Arabidopsis thaliana: one gene and its partners. The protein of the gene in region 2 purifies or fractionates together with the protein of the main gene of each other region. This does not show direct contact. Each region holds a gene or a part of one and is shown on either strand. Other genes may lie near its edges.

Region 1 (4,862 bases), 6.2 Mb from region 2:
TTATAATCTTTGAAAACCAAAAACATTACTTTTAAGTACACAATTGAAATTCATAGCTAAATAGTTAACATTACTGCTGCAACTCTATATTAATTGTAGAGTTATGGAAAAACAAAAGTACAAACTAAAATAAAGTTCGTTAAACTAGAATTTTACCCCGGAAAATCCACTATTTTTATGATATCTCCTTTACCGGAGTTACACAAATACACTAACCATATGTCTATAGTAATCTTTGTCACATATCAACTCAACCCACTAAAATATAATTCTATCCTCTCTGGTTTGTGTCGTATCATTTATCAACCCTAGTTAGATCAATAATCTCATAATTCCCCAATGCGAGGGCATCATTAGGATTGTTTATCAGTACCATCACATCATCTTTTTCTTGCTCTTGAGTAACGTCACAATCTTCTTGACGTTGTTGTTGTTGTTGTTGTTGTTGTTGTTGTTGAGTAACTTCGCGAGATTATTCTCCATCTAGCATCATCGTCTCAAGGTCATCATTAGCAAAACCGGTTAATTCAGCCTCTTCTGGCTGCTCACGATCTTCATGTCCCTCTAGCATCGTCTCAAGGCTATCAGCAAAACCGGTTAAATCAGCATCTTCTGGCTGCTCATGATCTTCTTGTCCCTCTAGCATCGTCTCAAGGCTATCAGCAAAACCGGTTAAATCAGCCTCTTCTTTCTGCTCACGGTCTTCTTGTCCCTCTAGCATCATCTCAAGCTGATCAGCAAAACCGGTTAAAGCATCCTCTTCTTACACTACTTGGTTCCGTAAGATGTTGTTGGTGTTCTCCGCCACCTGAGTCTGATGAGCCTGATGGTTAACGAGTCCAAACTCGTTGACGTTCGCCTCTTTCTTGTATCGGATCCGACACAAGACAACCTTTTGGAGGTCATCACTCTAGTGAAGAGAATACTCCATCTTCTGTCAATCGGTCTTGACAAGCTTTCCATGCACTCTCCTGTGGTACGTGAAAGACTGCTCGTAACCCATCACCCTTTTGCATGTGTCCGTCCTTGATCTCTTTTTTCCCATCGTTGCTTCTCCAAGTGCCGCCTTCGCTTCCTCCTCTTGCGGCTACCTTCCGGTGTACGCTTAATATCTTGCCACCTCGTTCAGTAAGCGGAACAAAGTAGTACCACTCGTTGTTATTGAACAAAGGATTGTTTACGTGAGGAAGAAGCCAAGGGTAGTCTTGGTGGATGTCCATAGTTGTTATGAAACTGCTCTGATTTCTCTCCACCTTGTTTCGAAGATAAAGCCTCACCAACCCTAGATCCGTCGGACAAAACCGTGATCCAACCGGAAGAATCTTCATATCGATCGTATAGATTCGAAGAAGAACTAGCTAAGGTACCTATATAATTGCTAAGGTTAAAAGTGCTCTTTCGTCTCTTGTGTAATACTGCTCTGTGAAGCAGGGTTTTCTTGAATTCCTCGCAGGTCAAGCGGCTGAACTCTCTATATGATCATGAATATATAGACAACGTGATGGGCCCAACCGGATTTTCTTTTGTCAGCGATTAACTATTTTTTGGAAAGAATAAGACGGTTGTAATTACATCTATTTGGTTATTTGAAATAATAATTAGATAGGATTCGAATCTATAATACACTTTTGTTTTGTTTATCACAGATTCTAACGATAGATAAAGATATATTACATGACCATGATTTATCCACATCAAAATAGCATAGTGCCGTAAACCGGCTAATCGTTTTGGGCCTAATTTGGGCAATTAAGCCCGTTAAGAAGGATAAGAGCCTATTGTGTATCAATATCTTCGGTTCGACCAAATTAAACCGCAATTTTAATTTCGTGTCTGGTTTGGTTTCGGCTAAATAATTCAGAAGTGGTTTAGTCTGAGAAGACTGGAACTGTGTTTTCTTTTACCTTGAGCTGTTAAATAAAAAGGAAGAGCGGTCAAAATCAGTGGACGACGAAGACTTCTTATCATTTAATATCTCTCCATCATCATCTTCTTCTTCAGCATCAAATCCAAATTCGGATCAAACATGGCTTCTCACTCGTCGACTCTCCTCTCTTCTCCTACTTTCGCTCCTTTCTCCTCTCATCGTCTTCATTATTCTCCCAATCCCTCTACTCTCAGATTCTCCCGTCCAATCAGAAATAAACCTAATCTCGCCTTGCGATGTTCAGTCTCAATTGAGAAAGAAGTTCCCGAAACTGAACGACCCTTTACTTTCCTTAGGGATTCTGATGACGTCACTCCATCTTCTTCTTCTTCTTCCGTCAGGGCTCGTTTCGAGACTATGATTAGGGCTGCTCAAGACAGTGTTTGTGATGCAATTGAAGCTATAGAAGGCGGTCCTAAGTTTAAAGAAGATGTTTGGTCTCGACCTGGTGGTGGCGGTGGAATCAGTCGTGTGTTGCAGGACGGGAATGTCTTTGAGAAAGCTGGTGTTAATGTCTCTGTGGTTTATGGTGTTATGCCTCCTGAAGCTTATAGAGCTGCAAAGGGCTCAGCTTCTGATCAGAAACCTGGTCCTGTTCCGTTCTTCGCTGCTGGAGTCAGCTCGGTAATGAATCTCTCCCTTCAATTTTACGATTCTTGGAGGTTCTCATGTTTTATCATTACGGATTTCTGTGTGATTCTAGGTTTTGCATCCCAAGAACCCTTTTGCCCCAACCCTGCATTTCAATTATCGCTATTTCGAGACAGATGCTCCAAAGGGTAAAAAAGCTAAAGTCTCAGTGAGATTGTAAAGTTGTTGTCTTTTGTTTGGACAACAGTCTTAAGTTTTTAATTTTCAACGGCGCAGATGTTCCTGGAGCTCCAAGGCAATGGTGGTTTGGTGGTGGCACTGATTTCACTCCTGCTTACATCTTTGAAGAAGATGTCAAGCATTTCCATTCGGTACTGAGCCTTATTCCTTGTTCTAAAGATATGAGCTTTGTGATCATGGAGTTGCTTTTATATAAACTGCTCTTTGTTGTTGTAGATTCAAAAGCAAGCCTGTGACAAATTTGACCCTTCCTTCTATCCCCGATTCAAGAAGTGGTGTGATGACTACTTTTACATCAAGGTAAGTTTTGTGAGATCCTGAAGCATTTTCTGGAACTGAGGGCCTTATTCTTTGAGTTGTGTTTAGGGATGTTATAGTCAAATCTGAGAGGGTAGAAACTGCTTAGAGAGACGTTCAGAAGCCTATTGTTAGTGTGAGGGCTTTGAAAACTTTTCTTAGAAATCTTTGATTTTGCTTGCAGCACCGTGATGAGAGACGAGGACTTGGAGGGATATTTTTTGATGATCTTAATGACTATGATCAGGAAATGCTTCTGTCATTTGCCACTGGTAAGGGACTGATTGTCCTCAATCTACAACAAACGATTTATTTTAATTGGTCTAGTTTCTTGGTAGACTAATTTAGCAATTGGTGTTTACAGAATGCGCAAACTCAGTGGTGCCGGCTTATATACCTATAGTAGAGAAAAGGAAAGACATGGAATTTACAGAGCAGCACAAGGCATGGCAACAGTTGCGACGAGGGCGATATGTCGAATTCAACTTGGTACTATGACCAAAACATTAGTCTTTTTCTCTGTTCTCACTCTCATCTCTCCAATCTTTCGTTATGAACCTTGTTCACTAATGTATTTGTAATGATGGATGGAAGGTATATGATCGGGGAACGACATTTGGTCTGAAGACAGGAGGACGAATAGAGAGCATTCTCGTCTCTCTTCCGCTTTCAGCAAGATGGGAATATGACCATGTAAGTTCTTTCCTCATTTGTGAAGAAACTTGGTCTAAATTCAATTGAATATGGCAATGTAGTAATGGTGTTTGTGAGTGCAGAAACCGGAAGAGGGGACCGAAGAGTGGAAGCTATTGGATGCTTGCATCAACCCGAAGGAGTGGATCTAGCCTGTGTTTCCCATTGTTGTGAGAAGAGTGAGTTTATTTCCATTGTTTCATGTAAGTTTTGAGCAGCTTTAGAGGATTAGATAACTGGAGAGATGGAGAAAGAGAGTGTGTAAGGTCAGGTCAAAATCTAGTCTTGTGATGTGCATGTTAACATCATCTCCTTTCTCTCTTTGCGATGGCAATGAAGACAAACTAAGAGCAGTGTTGTTAAAAGTCAAAACTTACCAATGCAAACAGTTGGTTTCTTGCAAGTTTTGAGCAGCTTTAGAGGATTAGATTACTGAAAAGAAAGTTATACTCTAGCCTTGTGATGTGCATGTTAACATGCGTCTGTTACGCTGTCGTTTCGTTTCTTTCTTTTGCCAATGGCAACGAAGACAACTTGTGCATTCAACTTTTTCACAAGTGACATGCTTATCTACGGACTCTAATCCAAATCCATATCCTCCTTAAGAACCCAAAACAAAAACTTATTGCTCAAAGTGTTGAAATCTGAGCTTTTCCAAAGAGAAGAAACAGTGATCAGCCCAGCCTAATGTAAGCCATTAGGCCTCTTAGTATTTTTTTTTTTTTTTTTTTTTGTCATCAAGCCTCTTAGTGTTAGCTGTCATAATTTCCTTTTTTTTTCATCTCTCTCGTTATTACGCCCTGAATCATTTAATAATCCCCAAATAAAGCAATAAATTTCTATTTTTTGTTTGTTTGTACAGAATTCTATGCAAATCAGTGTATTTTTTTTATGTAGAAATAGTGCTTAACGCCTGTAAGTGTTAATCAATACTTTAATCTATAAATAGGGTACAAATTTAAAATTATTCAAAGACAATAACATCCTTAAAAAGAAAAAAAATAGATTCACTTGTCTTATTGTAAAAAGAGCTAATAATGAAACAAAGCCAAATGAAGAACTAAATATGAGGTTCATCAATTTTTTATATTTACTTTAATATTTTATTTTTCCC
Region 2 (6,208 bases):
GACTCTCATCTTTTCTACAAATGTTGTAAATGGGTATTATGTAATGTATTCAACAATCTCACGATTTGTGACTTGTGAGGGACAACAGTTTGGATTTAATGAATATTCATGAATTATAGGGTTTACATAAAAGATTTTGGTAACCGTTCGATGATTTTCAAAGTCTTGTAAAGTTTGCTCTACATAATACTTCCACCTCTCTAGACGTTTTCTTAAGATGAAATCCGGGTTGCTACAGTTTTTGATACTAGTATTAATTAAAGTTTAAAATTCTCCTGACTGAAAAAAGTACTCAGTTTTAGCTATTACAACATTCTTAAATATAGACGAAAAACAAAACCAAAAAGAAATTAAGTTAAAGGCCACAATGTTAATCTGTGCATGAGATATTAATGCATTAGTTTTCATTCTAGACTTCTAGTTGAGTTGATTAAAAAATAATAATGAAAATTTGGTTTTAGAAAAGGTTATCGACTCTATCTATAATCTACAATAACTCATTTGTGGACTATCAAATTAAACTTCGTTGCGGCCTTGCGGGAGCAATCAAGCTTACATAGTTACATGGTTATCCGGAAAATGGGCTTCAATCAGGTATTATGTATGGGCTTCAAGCCCGACATACATACGCATCCTGATGAGTGATGACTGTACTATTCTAATTTTGTTGTTGTTGGGAATCATAGTTTGGTATATATCAGAAACTCTATTCATTATCCATAGGCTAGTAATGGTGTTATTTTAATAATGAAAATGGTTTTTAATAAATTTATTTCATTCAGAACAGTAATAATGGTTAGATATAAGAATTTGGTTGTCAGAATATTAGTTGTGCTAACTTTTTACAAAAATATTGTCCCATTCTTAATGTGTAATGGATGCCATGTATAACAACATTATTCTACATGCATTTATACTTTAATTCGATTTTTGTATACAAGAAGTACGAAAAGTATTCAATAAAGCATCAGAGGATATGCGAATCTATCACACGTGAAACTAAATTTGTCTTATCTGATGAATTTAGTGACTCTTAAGAAAAACTTGAAATACAAAAACAAATAAAAGTAGCTTACGAGACTATATCACTCGCCCACTCATCTAACATTATTTGAGATTGAAATCGCTTTATAGATTACTGGCTTAGACAAACATCAGTTAAGTGTATATATACTTGTGATTTATCATATGAGAAAAGAGAACAAACAAAACAACCATTTCCCCAAATTATACGATATAAAACTGAATAAATTTTTAGTTTTCCCCAAAAGAAACTGTGGATCGAATCAATAATAAAATAACCGATACAAAAATGGAAACCATTTAAAGATTACACAATGGACTAGTCTATAATAATGGGATTGGGGCGGCTAAACATAGCATAATATGGTTGAATGAATTTACTTTCTATTATAGTAGCAGGTTTCGGCTGACTCACTCTCACGACGATCATGGATTCGCTAGCTAGCTGGTTACCACATCCGTTGACTAGTCAACTGTGTTGACAGATGTTTTAGTTGGTTTTAGAGTCACCAGAAATCAAAGTGAAAAAAACCAATTTCTTTAACGACATAATATTAACTTTTACGTTTTAAGTCCTCTCTTATCCTTTTTTAAAAGTCCTATTTTAAGTACTTTCTATAATAGAATCTTCAAATTATCAAATACATTCTCTATACATGAATTTTTTTTGGTAATACAAGAAATCAACAATATCATACGAAACACAAATTTTATTTTCTTTGTACGAAACAAATGGAAGAATACAAGTATAGAAAATAAAATAAAAAGTGAAGATGCCATTTTGGTTTGAAAAACAAAAATGGTCCAAAAAAGAAGGTTAGTGTAAATTACAAAACTGATTAAAAATGGCAACATAACAAAACAATGTCGACAGATGCACGAAACTATTTCGACATAACGAGAGACTCAATGCATATCTGTCACGCGCGCTCTTAATTTCCATTTCTCCATGTTTCCTTTTTTTTTTTTAATGTCCCTATAAATACCCTATCAACACGGGTTATTATTTTTTCCGTTAGACTCCACAAAACTTAACGCCAACTACTTCGTCAAGTCTTTTTAGGTTTTCTTGTCGGAAATTTAAGGTTAGCTAATAGATAGAATGGGATCTCTCCCTGCGTTTGAAGAGCGGTTGCAGTATCCAACGGCGAGGCGTGATGAGTCCGTCGTTGAAGATTATCACGGCGTTAAAGTCTCCGATCCTTACCGCTGGTAAAAAGCGTTTACGTTCTCAGCTGTAACTAGCTACACTTGTTTGTTTGTTTGTTTTGTATGATAACGTTGTTGACATGTTGGTTGAGTTGACGGAGATTTTTATTACCGGAGAGCTTTCTGAAATTTCTGCTGTTTTATCGTAATGAAAGATTTTTAGCTCATGACCAATAGCATAACGAGCCTTTTTTGGACCAGCTCTATCGATTTTTTTTTGGCCCATTATTGATCTTACTGGACCAGTAGGCTAATTTCTGGACCAATTTTTGTTTGTTTGCTCATTAACTTTTTTGTGTCCCGGTTTGGTACAATCGTATATTGGTTTGGTTAGAATTCAGTTTAAGATAATTGATTCGGTTCTCTTGGTAGGTTGGAAGATCCTGACGCTGAAGAAGTGAAAGAATTTGTAGAGAAGCAAGTGCAATTGTCAGATTCAGTGCTCAAAAGTTGCGAAACGAAGGAAAAGCTTCATGACAAATTCACAAAGTTTATTGATTATCCTCGTTTCGATACGCCCTTTAAGCGAGGGAACAGCTACTTTTACTTCCATAACTCAGGTCTTCAAGCTCAGAGTGTGCTTCATGTTCAGGTAATTTGAAGCAGAGTATAATCTTCTTTAAGTGGGTTTTTGATTTGAATTTTTTTTTTTTTTCATTTGAAGGATGATTTGGAGTCTGAAGCAGAGATCTTGCTTGATCCTAATACTCTTAGTGATGATGGAACAGTTTCTTTAAACACTTTATCTATTAGTGAGGATGCTAAGTATTTGGCTTATGGCCTTAGCTCTAGTGGTAGTGATTGGGTTACTATTAAAGTGATGAAGATTGAAGATAAGAAAGTGGAACCTGATTCTTTATCTTGGGTAAGGCGTCTTCAAGTTGAATTACTCGTTAGTTTGAAGTTTCATTATTGACATTGACATGAAACTTGTTCTGAAATCAGGTTAAGTTTAGTGGGATCACATGGACACATGATGGGAAAGGTTTTTTCTACAGTCGCTATCCAGCTCCACGGTGAGTCTTTGGTTTAACTAACTGTGAAACTTTTTGGTGTAAAAGCTGAGGAATTTGTTTCAAAAGTTTGAGTTTTTATTACTGTTTTCTGATTTTGGTTTTGTTTCTGTAGAGAGGGAGAGAAGATAGATGCTGGTACAGAGACTAATTCTAACCTTTACCATGAGTTATACTACCATTTCCTTGGGACTGATCAATCCGAAGATGTTTTGTGTTGGAGAGACCAAGATAATCCCAAACATATGTTCGGATCCAAAGTCACTGATGATGGGAAGGTAAAAGCTAGCTCTTTTCTCATTTCTCTTGGTGATGGTTTCACTTAAAGTTAGTCTTATGATGCAGAAAGTCTAAGATTTGGGTTTGAGTTTTGATCCAACCATTATGTTATTTTTTCCTTTCCAATGCAGTACTTAATCATGTCAATTGAAGAAGGTTGTGACCCTGTAAACAAGGTTTATCATTGTGATCTCTCATTACTTCCTAAAGGTCTAGAAGGTTTTAGAGGAAGCAACACTTTACTTCCATTTGTTAAGCTTATTGACACTTTTGACGCACAATACATTGCTATCGCAAACGACGAGACATTGTTTACTTTCTTAACCAACAAAGATGCCCCAAAGTACAAAGTAGTTCGGGTTGACTTGAAGGAACCGAGCAGTTGGACTGATGTTATCGCTGAACATGAAAAGGATGTTCTCTCAACAGCTTCTGCAGTTAATGGAGACCAACTGGTTGTTAGCTACATGAGTGATGTAAAACACATCCTGCAGATTAGGGACTTGAAATCCGGTTCCTTGCTTCATGGATTACCTGTAGATATTGGCTCGGTATGTGGAGTTTTTGCTCGGCGTAAAGACACCACGTTTTTCTTTAGGTTCACAAGCTTCCTTACACCTGGCGTCATTTACATATGTGACTTATCCCATGAAGCTCCAGAAGTAACGGTATTTCGTGAAATCGGTGTACCTGGATTCGATAGAACTGCATTTCAAGTCACTCAGGTATGTATATGCTTTCTCCATTACAAAGTACTGAATCTGCAATACAAACATTATTTTTGAGTTCCTATTTTCATGATTATGTTTTATAGGTCTTTTATCCGAGTAAGGACGGAACAGATATACCGATGTTTATAGTGGCTAGAAAAGATATAAAGCTAGATGGATCACACCCATGTTTGCTCTATGCATATGGAGGGTTTAGCATAAGCATGACGCCGTTTTTCAGCGCGACCCGTATTGTGCTTGGTAGGCATCTTGGTACCGTGTTCTGTTTTGCAAACATCCGTGGTGGTGGTGAGTATGGTGAGGAATGGCATAAATCTGGTGCTCTTGCCAATAAGCAGAATTGCTTCGATGATTTCATCTCCGGGGCTGAGTATCTGGTTTCAGCTGGTTATACACAACCGAGGAAACTTTGTATCGAAGGTGGTAGTAACGGTGGTATTCTAGTAGGGGCTTGCATTAATCAGGTAAACAGAGTAGTAAATATTTAGCTCATGAAAATAGCAATCACATAGTTACATAATAAAAAATTTACACCTTTTACTGCAGAGACCGGATCTCTTTGGGTGTGCTCTGGCTCATGTTGGGGTCATGGACATGCTCCGGTTTCACAAGTTTACCATAGGACATGCTTGGACTTCTGAATTTGGTTGTTCTGACAAGGAAGAGGAGTTCCATTGGCTGATAAAGTAAGTCTTTTATTTAGGATCACCATAAAGCTTCTCTCTTTTGGTAGATTTATCTGATGGTTTTAATCTGTAAAAATAAGGTATTCGCCTCTGCATAATGTGAAGAGGCCATGGGAACAGAAGACAGATCTGTTTTTTCAGTACCCATCAACCATGTTGTTAACTGCTGATCATGACGATAGAGTCGTCCCACTTCATTCTTACAAGTTGCTTGCGGTTGGTCTCTCAACCTCTTGTTTGCATTTTGTATCTTCCTCTTCTTCTTCTTCATCTTCCATTGAAACCCGATTTCGCTTTCGCAGACAATGCAATATGAATTAGGTTTGAGTTTAGAGAATAGTCCACAGACGAACCCTATAATTGCTCGAATAGAAGTAAAAGCCGGGCATGGAGCAGGACGTCCAACGCAAAAGATGGTAACTATCTAAACATAAGACTTCTCTGTTAAATGTTTTTGTACAATATAAATGCTTGGAGTGTAATGTTTGTGAGCTGCAACAGATTGATGAAGCGGCTGATAGATATTCGTTCATGGCGAAGATGGTGGATGCTTCATGGATCGACTAGAATTTACACAAAGAGATTAGCTTTTCTTTCTTGTTATGTTTTAGAGAGAGCTACTATATTATAATTATACAGTCCCTCCTCTTTTATAAAGAAAATGTACTAGAGTAAAAGTATCTTTGAGTTTTAATCTAATCTCTAAATCCACGATATTATTGTCCAAGAGATTCAAAATCGTATGCATATGCGACATGGAAACTGTGTAGTTTATCGGAAACAACCTGTTGATACATCAATTGGGCCTCAGTGATCAACCGGCCCATTTCAAGGAATAACGACCCAGCCCGACCATCACTTTAGAACTCGAGCCGGCCCAGCAGGCCGAAGCCCGGCCTGGTCAGGATGTGAGTTCAGCTGCGTAGAAAAGGGGGGCACTCTTGGGAATTCACCTTGCGTACCCTACTATACGGACGGGTATAAATAAGGAATAGAAAGTCTCGGGAGAAGGGACGTTTTTCGGGACCTGGAGAAAGGATAGCACAAGTCAGCTCGCCCAGATCAGCCAGTTCGCCCGGAAGAGCCAGCTCATCGATACAAGTCAGCTCGTCGAGAGAAGTCTGCTCGTCAAGATCATCCAGCTCGCCCAGAAGAGCCAGCTCATCGATACAAGTCAGCTCGTCGAGAGAAGTCTGCTCGTCGAAGATCAGCCAGCTCGCCCAGAAGAGCCAGCTCACTAGAACCACCAGCTCGAAACGGCATCACC
Region 3 (6,777 bases), on a different chromosome or scaffold from region 2:
GTAGTATATTTCACTTGCCTCAGTTAGCTCTCGGTCTCTTCTCCTCCGGTATACTTGTGGGGAATTGTGAGCAGAAAATGCAGGAGGCTGGAACGCTTCACTAACATTCTTGCAGTTGATGCATTTACAGTTGTCTGAGCACAGAAGATTAGCCTGAAAGCACTCACAGTACTTCTTCAAACACCTGGTTCTTTTACATTTGCAGCCTCTCGAAAGCAGTCCAGGTTTAGTATCAGGTGCAGCCTTACACTACAATACAAAACACAGAACATCCCAGATACTTACAAATGAAAAAGGATGTGAAATATACCTCTTTGAAGCTTAACCTACAAAAGTGATAGGTGTCAAGAACATACCTGATTATCAGTTAGGCTACCTAAAGCCTTTTCACTGAAGGCATTTGGGTTGCGACCTAGTACATTCACCATAGCTGCTTCTCTAGCATCACATTTCTCAGAGTTGTTATGACAATCAACACAATCACAGTCTGTACATACCACTCCTGATGCAAAACAGTCACAGTACCTAATAACCAAGCGTCAAACAAATATCCAATAATGCATCAATCTACAGCAGATAATAGAAATCTCACTATTCAACATTATACTCAAATCTCTATCAGCTTAACACTAAGTAATTCTTGGATCCTGAAATGAACTTACAACTTTAAACATTTGGACTGCTTGCATCGACATCCTTTGTGTTTCCTCGAAGTAATGCCTTCTTCATCTGTCTTATCCTTTGCTTCTGAATGCTCTCTGCTTCAAAATCAAGACCAGTGGAGATCAGAGAGTAGATTTTGGATTGAAATTACTCAAACGAGAAGCATCTCTAGTGAAAATTGGCAGAGAAACTGGAACAATACCGAGAAATCGGAGGAAAAAGAGGAAGTTCTTTAACAGGAGATTCTCGGAAGACGGGAGATACCTCCAATTTGGTGAAAACGAGCTTCCTAGGGTCTTTCTCTGTCGCGATTTTGCCGGAATCTGCGTTTCCTGTCATATCGGTCCTTGACACATTATAGTCGCCACACAAGTTAGTTCCTCAATTTGGCGAACCGATTAGAGCATGAACGGTGAGGAATCCTCAGAGAAGCGTCGATTCATAGATCAGATCAGATCAGTGTATCGGAGAGTCGCCATGGCTGACAGATATCAGAACAAAAATGGAATGCTGGATCCTAATTCGGAACGATGAATGATTGTCTCTCTCTCGATTTTTTTTTTGGCCAGCTCCAAGGGGTTTTCTAAGAAACAAAAAGGTTCTGTGAACAACGCGAAGGTATTCAAAAGCGAGAGAGAGTGATCTTGGAGGGAATGATGATGTGTTGATGACGAAGATGGAGTTGGATTAAAGAAATCTAATTTCATGATTAATAATTTAATATAACAAAATTAGTCTTCTCCAATGCTCAAACCGGAGACCTAAGATGTACACTCCCTTTAAAAGGTACTGATAAAAAAAAAGTTATTAATTGCATGTTGGCATTAAATAGAATCTTCCTCTAGAGTTCAAAACTTCACAATAATAAAATCAATGCATATCAAAGCATATGTATAAGATGTTAGCTAACCACAATTGTTATTCATCAACGGTCAGGATCACATCACTCAAAATGCAATATTCAGATGGTCTTTAATTTTGTGTAAATATACTTAGAAAGAAATTCACAACACAAATAAATGAGAAAAAGCAAATCAGTAATTAACCTTAAAAAAATGCCTAATAAAGCGTCATTAAAGAATAACCCATTATCGCCTGTCACTCACTTTTAATCATCAAAACACGCCACGTGCCAAACTCTCCACTGAATCAAAGTCGCCAAACGCTTCAGTCGCTATTTCATGATCGACACGAAGGCTCTCTTTTGGCGATTGCAACCACCACCTAAGAAGAACGGCTACGTAATTTGACTGTACGACTTGCGAAAAAAGTCGAAACCTTTTAACGAACCAGACCTAAAAATGACCGCTACGACAACATTAAAGAGTTTCAACTACTTGTCTTTAATTAACCATCGACTCAACCACAACTCCTACGCTATTCTCTCCTCTCCTCTTCTTCCTCGATCCCACCCAGCTTCTACTTCGTTTTCCAATTCTGGGTTTCGATTCTTCCAATCTAACCATCTCTTCTGTAAGTTTTCTTCTTTACCTTTGTTTGGTTTTTGCATGTTACATGTTCGACGAAATGTCTTAAAGATTCGTGCTTTCCATATAGTAACATTGATGATCCGTAAAAACCTGAACAAGTTGTTGTTTTGATCTGAATTTATATTGAAAATTTTGCAGCATCTCCAAGGAACTCAATCTGTTCTTTTTTTGTACATGTAGTTTCTATATATTAATCTGAATTTTATCTATGTAATCAAAATGTTGCAGCTTCACAGTCTGGTTCACTCATGGAAGTGTTTAAAGCAGCTTTTTCAGAAGCGTCTAATTCTTGTGATAGGATTGCGATTAAAGCCGATGGAAAGAGTTACTCTTATGGCCAGCTAACATCGTCTGCTTTGAGGATATCTAAATTGTTCTTAAAAGATGATACGACAAATGTATGGTTTTTGGTTTGAAATTGTAGCTACTATATCTACTACTTGAAGCTATCACACAGTTTGTTTACAGCTTTATGGTTATTGACTTTTTTTGTCTTCTATAAATTTCGTAGGGAGGTCAAGAAACTAAGAAGTATGAAGGGTTTGGTAGTCTAAAAGGAGCTAGAATCGGAATTGTGGCAAAACCTTCAGCTGAGTTTGTTGCAGGAGTCCTGGGGACATGGTTTAGCGGTGGTGTAGCGGTTCCACTTGCACTCAGCTATCCTGAGGCTGAACTCTTACATGTCATGAATGATTCGGTATGGAATCTACTTGCCTTCCTATTTCCTTGTGCTTTAATTTCGGCTCAATTGTTAGGTATTCTTGATCTTATTTTTGTGATCTCAGAATTTTGATCCAAGCTCTTGGTTTTTCTAGCATTAGGTCTTTTTCCATAGACTAAAAAGGGTACTCTGTAGAACAAAGTAGAAAATATTCTAAAAGGCAGAAGTTTTCTGGTTTGCTCTGTTTTCTACCACATTCAAGTTTCACAAAATAAGTGTGCCTTATGCTCTTTTTACTCTCGAGAAAAAATGATTAACATTTTCTTGGGATCTAACCTCGTTGTCTTCGGTTTCTAGGATATATCTCTGTTATTGAGCACAGAGGACCATAGTGAAACTATGAAAACCATCGCAGCAAAGAGTGGTGCTCGATTTCATCTTATTCCTCCTGTTGTTAACTCAACTTCGGAAACTGTTGCTTGCAATCAGTTTCAGGATGACAGTTTTGAAGCAGAAGGAAAGTTTCTAGGTAAGTTTTTGAATATACTTGAGATGGTGAACTTATAATGAAGGCTGCTCTTTTAATTTTTGCCACCTTACCTCAAGCAATTATTGGTCTGGATTTTCTGCATCACTTCAGCCTTTATTTGTGCAGATGATCCAGCATTGATCGTCTACACTAGTGGTACAACTGGTAAGCCAAAAGGAGTTGTTCATACTCACAACAGCATCAATTCCCAGGTATATATCCGACCTCCTTATGTAGCGCATGTCATGTTTCAAATCTACCCAACCTGCAATAGAATGGTCTGCATGTATCTAAATTATGATGTACCTTATAAGCTAGAAGCTTGTATATGTTGCAGGTTAGAATGCTCACTGAAGCTTGGGAGTACACATCTGCTGATCATTTTCTCCACTGCCTCCCACTACATCATGTTCATGGGCTTTTCAACGCTTTATTTGCTCCTCTTTACGCACGGTCTTTGGTAACTTATACTATTGAGATTTGCTTTGGCTAGCTCTTTCAAAATACATTACCTTCGGAAAACATCAGGCTAGTTTTAGGTTTTTAATTGATTTTCACATTCCTTTTTCAAGGTGGAGTTTTTGCCCAAATTTAGTGTTAGTGGAATCTGGCGTAGATGGCGTGAATCATATCCGGTGAATGATGAAAAAACCAACGACTCCATAACTGTATTTACTGGAGTAAGTCTTATTTTTTGTTACTTGTATTCCAGACAAATAATACTAGTTTATGCTTAGCTGTCCCTGCCTCAAGTTAATTGTTTGATTTCTTGTTGCATAATCCTTTTCTTAAGCCTGATATAGCAAGCTTATTAATTGTTTCTAGTGTTAGTTAGTATTTGAATTGAGGGAAGTATTCACTATTCAATGTGAGTTTACTCAATTTTACTATGTAACAAAATGATAGTCTTGGCTGAGTTGATCAGTTTCCAGTTTGCTTCTTGCGCTCTAGATATATAAACAAACATGCTTTGCTTTAGAGAAATTTAGCCTGAGATGAGAAATAGAAAGAAACAGCGAGAGATTTAGCTATTTTTAATTGGTAAAGTTATTGTTGCGATACACAGGTTCCAACCATGTACACTCGGTTGATACAAGGTTATGAAGCAATGGATAAAGAGATGCAGGACTCGAGCGCTTTTGCTGCACGGAAGCTTCGCCTAATGGTAAGCAACCAAATATCTCCTAGAAGAGCCAATCCAGCTTAATGTTTATCATTATCTGCCTAGATAGCTATGCTATTTTCATATTCTGATGAAACTAGTGCTTAAATGTTAGCCAATGAAATACATTTTCAGATGTCTGGCTCCTCTGCTCTCCCTCGACCTGTCATGCATCAATGGGAAAGTATCACAGGTCATCGTCTTTTGGAAAGATATGGCATGACTGAGGTAAGTAGATTTTCCTGTCTCTTTGAGTTACCATAATCAATACCTTAGAACAAGCTTAACACAAGCTTGTTCTTAGTAGTTACATCTACTGAATTAAAAAAAAATCTTCAATATTCCCAGTTTGTAATGGCAATGTCAAACCCCTTACGGGGTGCACGAAATGCAGGTACTGTCGGCAAACCGCTTCCTGGTGTGGAGGTCAGTGACATCTTCTTTCTCTTTCGTCCTCACTCAATACCTTTTAACTAATGCTACACAGATTAAGTACTAGTAATACTGTGACATGAAGTTATGATACTGAAAAAGTGTAAACATGATAGGCTAAAATAAAAGAAGATGAAAATGACGCAAATGGAGTGGGTGAGATATGTGTTAAAAGCCCATCTTTGTTCAAGGAGTACTGGAATCTTCCAGAGGTGACTAAAGAATCATTTACGGAAGATGGATACTTCAAGACGGGAGATGCTGGAAGAGTGGATGAGGATGGATATTACGTGATTCTAGGACGTAAGCAGAACCTATAAGTACATTCAAACACAATTTAAAAGTACTTTGTGTTCCTTCATTTAACATCTTATCTTATCTTCTCTGGTGTCGATCAGGTAATAGCGCTGACATTATGAAGGTTGGAGGATACAAGTTATCTGCCTTAGAAATCGAATCAACCCTTCTCGAGGTAACATTAACATCCATTTGAGTTTTTTTTTGGCTCTGTGAAGCTATCAGAAGCTTTTATCTCCTTGGGAAATAGGCTTTAGATAACTGAACCGAGAGAACTTAATCGTTGTATGATATCTCTGGGGGATGTGTTATGCAGCACCCTACTGTTGCAGAATGTTGCGTGTTGGGGTTAACAGACAACGACTATGGAGAAGCCGTGACTGCGATAATTATAGCAGAGAGTGCAGCAAAGAAGAGAAGAGAGGATGAGTCAAAACCTGTAATAACCTTAGAAGAACTGTGCGGTTGGGCTAAAGACAAGCTTGCTCCTTACAAGGTACTAAAAATCTGCCAAAGTGTTGTCAAAACGCGCAACAGTCTTGTCAATCTTTTTTTCTTTTTTTTTCTTGTCCATAATATTCTGTCTTTTCAGCTACCAACAAGATTGCTGATATGGGAGAGCTTGCCTCGCAACGCCATGGGAAAGGTAGCTATATTTCTCTCAAATTTTTTCTTTTTTCTTGAATGATATCAGAGATAGTTGTTTTGTTGTAACCAATAAGAATCATTCTCAGTGTATGAGTATTTTTTTCGAGTTGCAGGTGAACAAAAAAGAGCTAAAGAAATCTCTGGAAAATCAAGAATAAAGACAACCATGGATTTCATTGCTACTCCTTGTTCTTTTGATTATATGACACGTATGCATAAAATGTAATTTCCTTCTTTCCTGTATCATGTACTTTGACTCAATAATGTCAAGAATCAATACCAAATTAACTATTTGAGAAGTAAATCTTTGTTATATACTATTTCTTTGTTTAGTGTGAAGAACAACAAAATTGTATAGTGTGAAAGAAGGAAAGTTGACCATAGTCTTTGACTCTTTGATGCTAAATCAGTAATCATTCCAAAAGGGTATAATGGTAATTAACTATGATGATCCGATAACCATATATTCCCACACGCAAGTTTGTTTTGTAACGAGAACGTAAAAAGACGAAGAAGAAGGGACAGTATGGTAGATCCAACGATCCATAACACGACGACGTATCTCGAAGAGATAGCAAAAGGAAACGGGCAAACCGAGTTCGAGATTTTAATCTTGAAAGGCTTAGAACTCATCCATGTCGGGAAAGGGATCTTACGTTGTAAATTACTTGTCACAGATCATGTCGTGGTAATAAAATTTACTTAATCCAACGAATCTAGTTTTAAGCTTCCTTTTTTGTGTTTTTGATTGGTGAACGTTATTATTACTAAACAATGCGAAAGATGATTCTCAGGGAGAAGATGGAAGTTGGAATGCGGGAGTGATTACGGCGGTGATGGACTCGATCGGAGCGTCAGCTGTGTACTCCTCCGGCGGCGGACTCCATATCTCTGT
Region 4 (4,751 bases), on a different chromosome or scaffold from region 2:
AAAACAGTAATTGTAGTTGAAAAACGATTAGATGGTGAAAAAGTATCAACTATAAAAATACATATATTAAATCCACTAAACCATTTCGTAGACCAAATAATCATCTCGTATGTGCCATGCTTATGAGTTTATCACTAATTACACTAATAGGACTGAAATTCTCAAAGAAAATAAAACATTTATTTGAAAATAGAACAGCAAAAAAATTGAGAATCTAGAGATTTGGATTTATTCTTCGTTCTATATTTTGTCCCGTTTATATACTAACTGATGTTCTCATTTGTTTTGTGGTTAAAGTAGCTAACTGTTGTTGACACTTAACAGTAATACTCGCTAACTGTTTTATTTTCGTAATTTGTGAAACTTCTTAGAGTACTCTTACTTGGGCTCATATCAGGCCCAGTATTTTGCGGATGTTTATTAATGTGTTTTTTTTCGATTAAAAGAGAATTTTATATACAAATACAATGTGCAAGTTGAATTTTCTTTTTCCATTTGTAGTAAAAGATTTGTGGACTGGAAATTGTGTAATCGATACTTGATAATTGATAAGAATCCGAAAGCTTATGATTCTATGACAAAAGACCCTCTCCCAAAAGTAAAGTGGAAAAACACATCCCCGTGACTATATGGAGCAATCCAATCTGGTTCACGGGTTTCTCTAAAACTTGATATATATACACCTTCTCATGCACATTCATTTCAACACCACAAACACAAACAAACATATAGAAAAAGAGAGAGGAGGATAATAATATGGCGAGCAAGAAAGCAGCTATGGTTATGATGGCGATGATCGTGATAATGGCTATGTTGGTCGATACATCAGTAGCGATAGATCTCTGCGGCATGAGCCAGGATGAGTTGAATGAGTGCAAACCAGCGGTTAGCAAGGAGAATCCGACGAGCCCATCACAGCCTTGCTGCACCGCTCTGCAACACGCTGATTTTGCATGTCTTTGTGGTTACAAGAACTCTCCATGGCTCGGTTCTTTCGGTGTTGATCCTGAACTCGCTTCTGCTCTCCCCAAACAGTGTGGTCTAGCCAACGCCCCAACTTGTTAAAAGACTCTGTATACGTGTGTTTATGTTTTTTATTACTCCTATTCTAAATATCGGATGTTATTAATAAATCGTATTTTCTGCCAAATGGCGTTTATGGGTTAACCCCAAAAACTGGTCAAAAGAAAAGAAAGAGGACCAATCGAAAACTACACAAGGCCCAAACACGGAAGGGCAATTTCGAAAAATATGTAACCAATAAGCGATAGAGAGAAACCACAAAGCACAAATACAGAGGTTTATGGTTTCACTACCTCTGACACAGTATTCAACACTCTGACACCAAAACAACAAATATTCTTAATTCCGTCTTATCTAATCACTAACCATTTCATTTTCATTCCAAATAGACGATTATACCCTTAGTACTAAACCAACAAAAATGACAAAGAACACAGATTAAACACAGAACGATTATAGAAGATAGATAGAGAAGCGAAATCATCAACAAAACATAATATAGCCCGAGATTAATATGCAATTTCACCAAGATTAGAGTTTGTCAAAAGGGGTGAAATTAGAATCCGAAAGTCATTAGCCTACTCGATCCGGTTTACTGATTACCGGATTCCACAAAAGACAAAATAAAAGCATAAACCTAGGATAATAGATAGTTTTTTTTGTTCAGAAACCGACGAAGAATTAGATCCGACGACAGATTCTAAACCTCTTTGTTCTCGTCGGTGATCACGGTCTTCTTCTCCGCGAAGATCCAAGTGACACCAAAAGGATCCGTAACTTTTCCTTTGAATCCCAGTTCAACTTCTGCCTCCGTAACCTCCACTTTCACAGCTCCGGCGTCAACAGCTTTCGCAACGGCGGCTTCAGCATCCTTAGTTCCGAGAAGAAAAGTCACTCCCGAACCTTCCGATTTCGCACTGTTTAACGATTTAAAAAAGAAACAAAACCACATAAGTAAACAGTAATCGTATTTAAGAAAAGGCACAATCATCCACTTAAAATAGTTTTTTAAGCGTTATAAAAGTTTCCAAAAACTATTCATTTCAAAAACCTAAATCCAGATCTAAAACGAACAAAAAAATCGTGTTTAAGGGAGAGGAATAACTTCTAAACATGATTTATTCTCCAGATTTCTTCTAATAAAACAACCTAAAACCAGATCTAAAACGAAATCAAACACTAAACGAACAAAAACCTAAAAAAAAAACAGAAAACATGGAGATCTAGAAGCTAAACACCAAAACGAGAGAGAGAGACTTACGTAGAAAAACCAGGGAGAGAGGAAACGTCGCAAACAACGAAGGAAGAGCCAGCGAGATTAAGCTCAGAAGAGAGAACATGAGGAAGCTCTTGGTCAAGCTTACGCTTAGGGTAAAGAGAATGACCAGACTCGATCGCACCAAAAGCAGATTTGTAGAAAGTAACAGCGTCACCGACCTTTTGAGCTTCAACGAGCAACATCTGCTTGAACTCAGTGAAGACAAGATGCGTCTCCACCGGACCAGCACCGTTAGTAGCAACAGCAGTAACATCTTCTTGAGCCATCGCAGAGAGAAAATAAAACTTTGAGAAGAGAGATTCGTTTACGGTTAAGAGAGAAATGAAAATTGCGTGTGAAAGAACAATCTAGAGACGATGAGTGAGATATTTATGAAGGAAGCGGAGAAGCGGAATCGTTTCGTGTAACCTGACGAGGATTTCAAATGGATATAACAATTGCTCTCACGTCCGTGGATTTTTACCCTTACTTTTTGATTTATTTACGTGAATATGCCCCTACTAATCACTTTTCATTTACTACCCTATAGGACTCGTGTCTCGTTCGCATGTCTCCTCTATTAAACCGTTGGAAAGAAATCAATTAAAATTGGTTACTCGAATATTTTAATCTTTGTTATATACTGTGTCATCAAATATTTTAGTTTGTTATCATTGTGTAACTCTGAATGGTACACATAGGACAAAAGTTACGATTTTATTTTTTCCCATCCGTTTCGAATGGGTTTAAAGATATGTTAATATCACTACCATTATTCTTTTTTTTCTTCTATCCCTTTCCAATTTTATTTTACGTCACATGTAACTTTTGAGGTTTAATGGATGTGCATAGTTTAGTAGAGAGACATTATATGTCATATCAACCAACCAAATTACAAATTATATACCGATCAAGATTATTTCAGGACGCAATCTCTACCTGCGAGTCTTTCTTGATGTAACAAAAGATATTACTAATAAGCGATTTCTTCAAGAACTTGGAGGGTTTTTTGGTGAACCTGTGAACAGAAATAAACTATGATGAATGCAAAGAAACGAGACTTTGGTTGCAAATGTTTTGGTGTTATGAGGAACTTACCCATTCTAGATGTTGTGCTGTTATCCCGGAGGCATTACCCGAGTATATACTTCCCAGTACCTATCAAGATTGGATTTAAACATCACATAAAAAAGTGGTCAATGTTCTCTATTACTATCATCTGTTGAACATAGGGGATCGAGGAATGTTGGAAACATACCTTTGTGACAGTTTCTAGAAACATTCCTGGTCTTACTGGTAACGGTTTTCTTCCTGTAACGCTTCCCTGAGATCGCATCAAGTAGGCCAAGTAAGAAAAGAAGACATATCTTTGGTTCAGAGCCTACTGAAAAAGTCTTCTCTTTTAACAAAACAATGTGTCACTTGATCATACTTACCCTTCCATTTAATCCACTTGGTTTTCTTCCTTCGGTAGAAGAATCGTCTTCTTTGCTAAGATTATCTGCGCCTTCATCTTTCCCTTGCATTACATTCTGGATCATCTGCTGCACAGTCTTTCCAGGTTTCAAAGCTACCAATTTGGCTAAGAAATTCACCTGTTTGACGATCAAGCAACAAGTCACTGTATCTCAATGTTTAAAAAATGTTCACAAACACAGCATCATGGACATAATAGTTTGTCACACAAACCTCTGATTCAGGAAGAGTAGTGAAACCTCGGTCATTTCTTTCATCAAGTATACCTCCTCCCATCATGTTCCGGGCTTCCTCTCTAATCAAAACAAGCCTCGCTAGTAGTTTTCGATCCGGAATAGCTGGCCTTGTTTCCATAGTCTGCAAAAATCCTCAGACTTGTTCACATTCTCAAACTATCTCAAATACAGATTGATATCTATACTTAAACAAACACAAGTACCTCTAGCAAGTCATCAGCTTGATTAGCTATGTCATTCAGATTTGCTCCGGGTATATGAAGTTTAGTACCGTTCTCACTTTCAAAAGCCCCACCACCTGCAGCCACCCTACGCAGAAGCTCATGTCTACTTTCCTTTTTCGGGGTTCTACAGAGTAAACCAATCACCTGGACCTAAATATGGAGCAACACTTACACAAAATTAAAAACATGAAATGAAGCTAATGAAAAATTTAGAAAGTAAGAAGAAACTAATCTTAATATTACTCACATGAGGAGGGCATTTCTTGGTGAGATGAGATAAGACAGTCTCCTTGACGACCTCTAGTAAAGACTTTCTCTGAATCCAAAACAAAAATTCTTTAATCCTTTGTCCCAGCTTATGCTACAGAACTAATGGCAAGACTAACAACAGCCATAAAATCCAGAGAACATGTAATATTTGCTACACTACATTGCAAAAGCAATTCTAGCTATCCTGGTCGTTCTATGTAGCAAAACTCAAGTCAATTCTAGAAATATTTTTGTGTACATTCAGAGGGAAAATGCAGAATTGGT

The links.
Region 1: the proteins of AT1G20380 (region 2) and LIN2 fractionate together in Arabidopsis thaliana (co-fractionation; one large-scale study listed by BioGRID). This does not show direct contact.
Region 3: the proteins of AT1G20380 (region 2) and AAE13 fractionate together in Arabidopsis thaliana (co-fractionation; one large-scale study listed by BioGRID). This does not show direct contact.
Region 4: the proteins of AT1G20380 (region 2) and AT5G48480 fractionate together in Arabidopsis thaliana (co-fractionation; one large-scale study listed by BioGRID). This does not show direct contact.

The regions. Positions count from the first base shown.
Region 1 is NC_003070.9:868,340-873,201, reverse strand, and holds LIN2 (Coproporphyrinogen III oxidase), read left to right. Parts: upstream 1-1,893; 5' UTR 1,894-2,026; coding exon 2,027-2,551; intron 2,552-2,630; coding exon 2,631-2,706; intron 2,707-2,794; coding exon 2,795-2,889; intron 2,890-2,974; coding exon 2,975-3,058; intron 3,059-3,239; coding exon 3,240-3,327; intron 3,328-3,419; coding exon 3,420-3,544; intron 3,545-3,649; coding exon 3,650-3,748; intron 3,749-3,831; coding exon 3,832-3,900; 3' UTR 3,901-4,349; downstream 4,350-4,862. Other genes in the region: NAC006 (NAC domain containing protein 6), read right to left, coding at 296-462, 520-757, 809-910, 990-1,328. UniProt on the Arabidopsis thaliana protein: Key enzyme in heme biosynthesis. Catalyzes the oxidative decarboxylation of propionic acid side chains of rings A and B of coproporphyrinogen III.
Region 2 is NC_003070.9:7,059,540-7,065,747, forward strand, and holds AT1G20380 (Prolyl oligopeptidase family protein), read left to right. Parts: upstream 1-1,902; 5' UTR 1,903-2,125; coding exon 2,126-2,235; intron 2,236-2,604; coding exon 2,605-2,824; exon of another isoform or gene 2,825-2,896; coding exon 2,897-3,097; intron 3,098-3,177; coding exon 3,178-3,248; intron 3,249-3,360; coding exon 3,361-3,523; intron 3,524-3,655; coding exon 3,656-4,249; intron 4,250-4,338; coding exon 4,339-4,719; intron 4,720-4,801; coding exon 4,802-4,941; intron 4,942-5,021; coding exon 5,022-5,157; intron 5,158-5,243; coding exon 5,244-5,357; intron 5,358-5,442; coding exon 5,443-5,508; 3' UTR 5,509-5,703; downstream 5,704-6,208.
Region 3 is NC_003074.8:5,474,089-5,480,865, forward strand, and holds AAE13 (AMP-dependent synthetase and ligase family protein), read left to right. Parts: upstream 1-1,766; 5' UTR 1,767-1,964; coding exon 1,965-2,136; intron 2,137-2,381; coding exon 2,382-2,551; intron 2,552-2,664; coding exon 2,665-2,850; intron 2,851-3,171; coding exon 3,172-3,343; intron 3,344-3,469; coding exon 3,470-3,555; intron 3,556-3,680; coding exon 3,681-3,803; intron 3,804-3,915; coding exon 3,916-4,023; intron 4,024-4,409; coding exon 4,410-4,508; intron 4,509-4,640; coding exon 4,641-4,733; intron 4,734-4,853; coding exon 4,854-4,931; intron 4,932-5,053; coding exon 5,054-5,240; intron 5,241-5,335; coding exon 5,336-5,409; intron 5,410-5,550; coding exon 5,551-5,730; intron 5,731-5,826; coding exon 5,827-5,880; intron 5,881-5,995; coding exon 5,996-6,040; 3' UTR 6,041-6,261; downstream 6,262-6,777. Other genes in the region: AT3G16160 (Tesmin/TSO1-like CXC domain-containing protein), read right to left, coding at 19-249, 357-525, 663-758, 866-1,002; AT3G16175 (Thioesterase superfamily protein), read left to right, coding at 6,409-6,570, 6,677-6,777. UniProt on the Arabidopsis thaliana protein: Malonate--CoA ligase that catalyzes the formation of malonyl-CoA directly from malonate and CoA. May be required for the detoxification of malonate.
Region 4 is NC_003076.8:19,642,631-19,647,381, reverse strand, and holds AT5G48480 (Lactoylglutathione lyase / glyoxalase I family protein), read right to left. Parts: upstream 2,844-4,751; 5' UTR 2,569-2,843; coding exon 2,285-2,568; intron 1,941-2,284; coding exon 1,724-1,940; 3' UTR 1,066-1,723; coding exon of another isoform or gene 757-1,065; 3' UTR 542-756; downstream 1-541. Other genes in the region: DIR1 (Bifunctional inhibitor/lipid-transfer protein/seed storage 2S albumin superfamily protein), read left to right, coding at 757-1,065; AT5G48470 (uncharacterized protein), read right to left, coding at 3,255-3,299, 3,380-3,439, 3,540-3,605, 3,718-3,876, 3,971-4,114, 4,197-4,367, 4,465-4,533.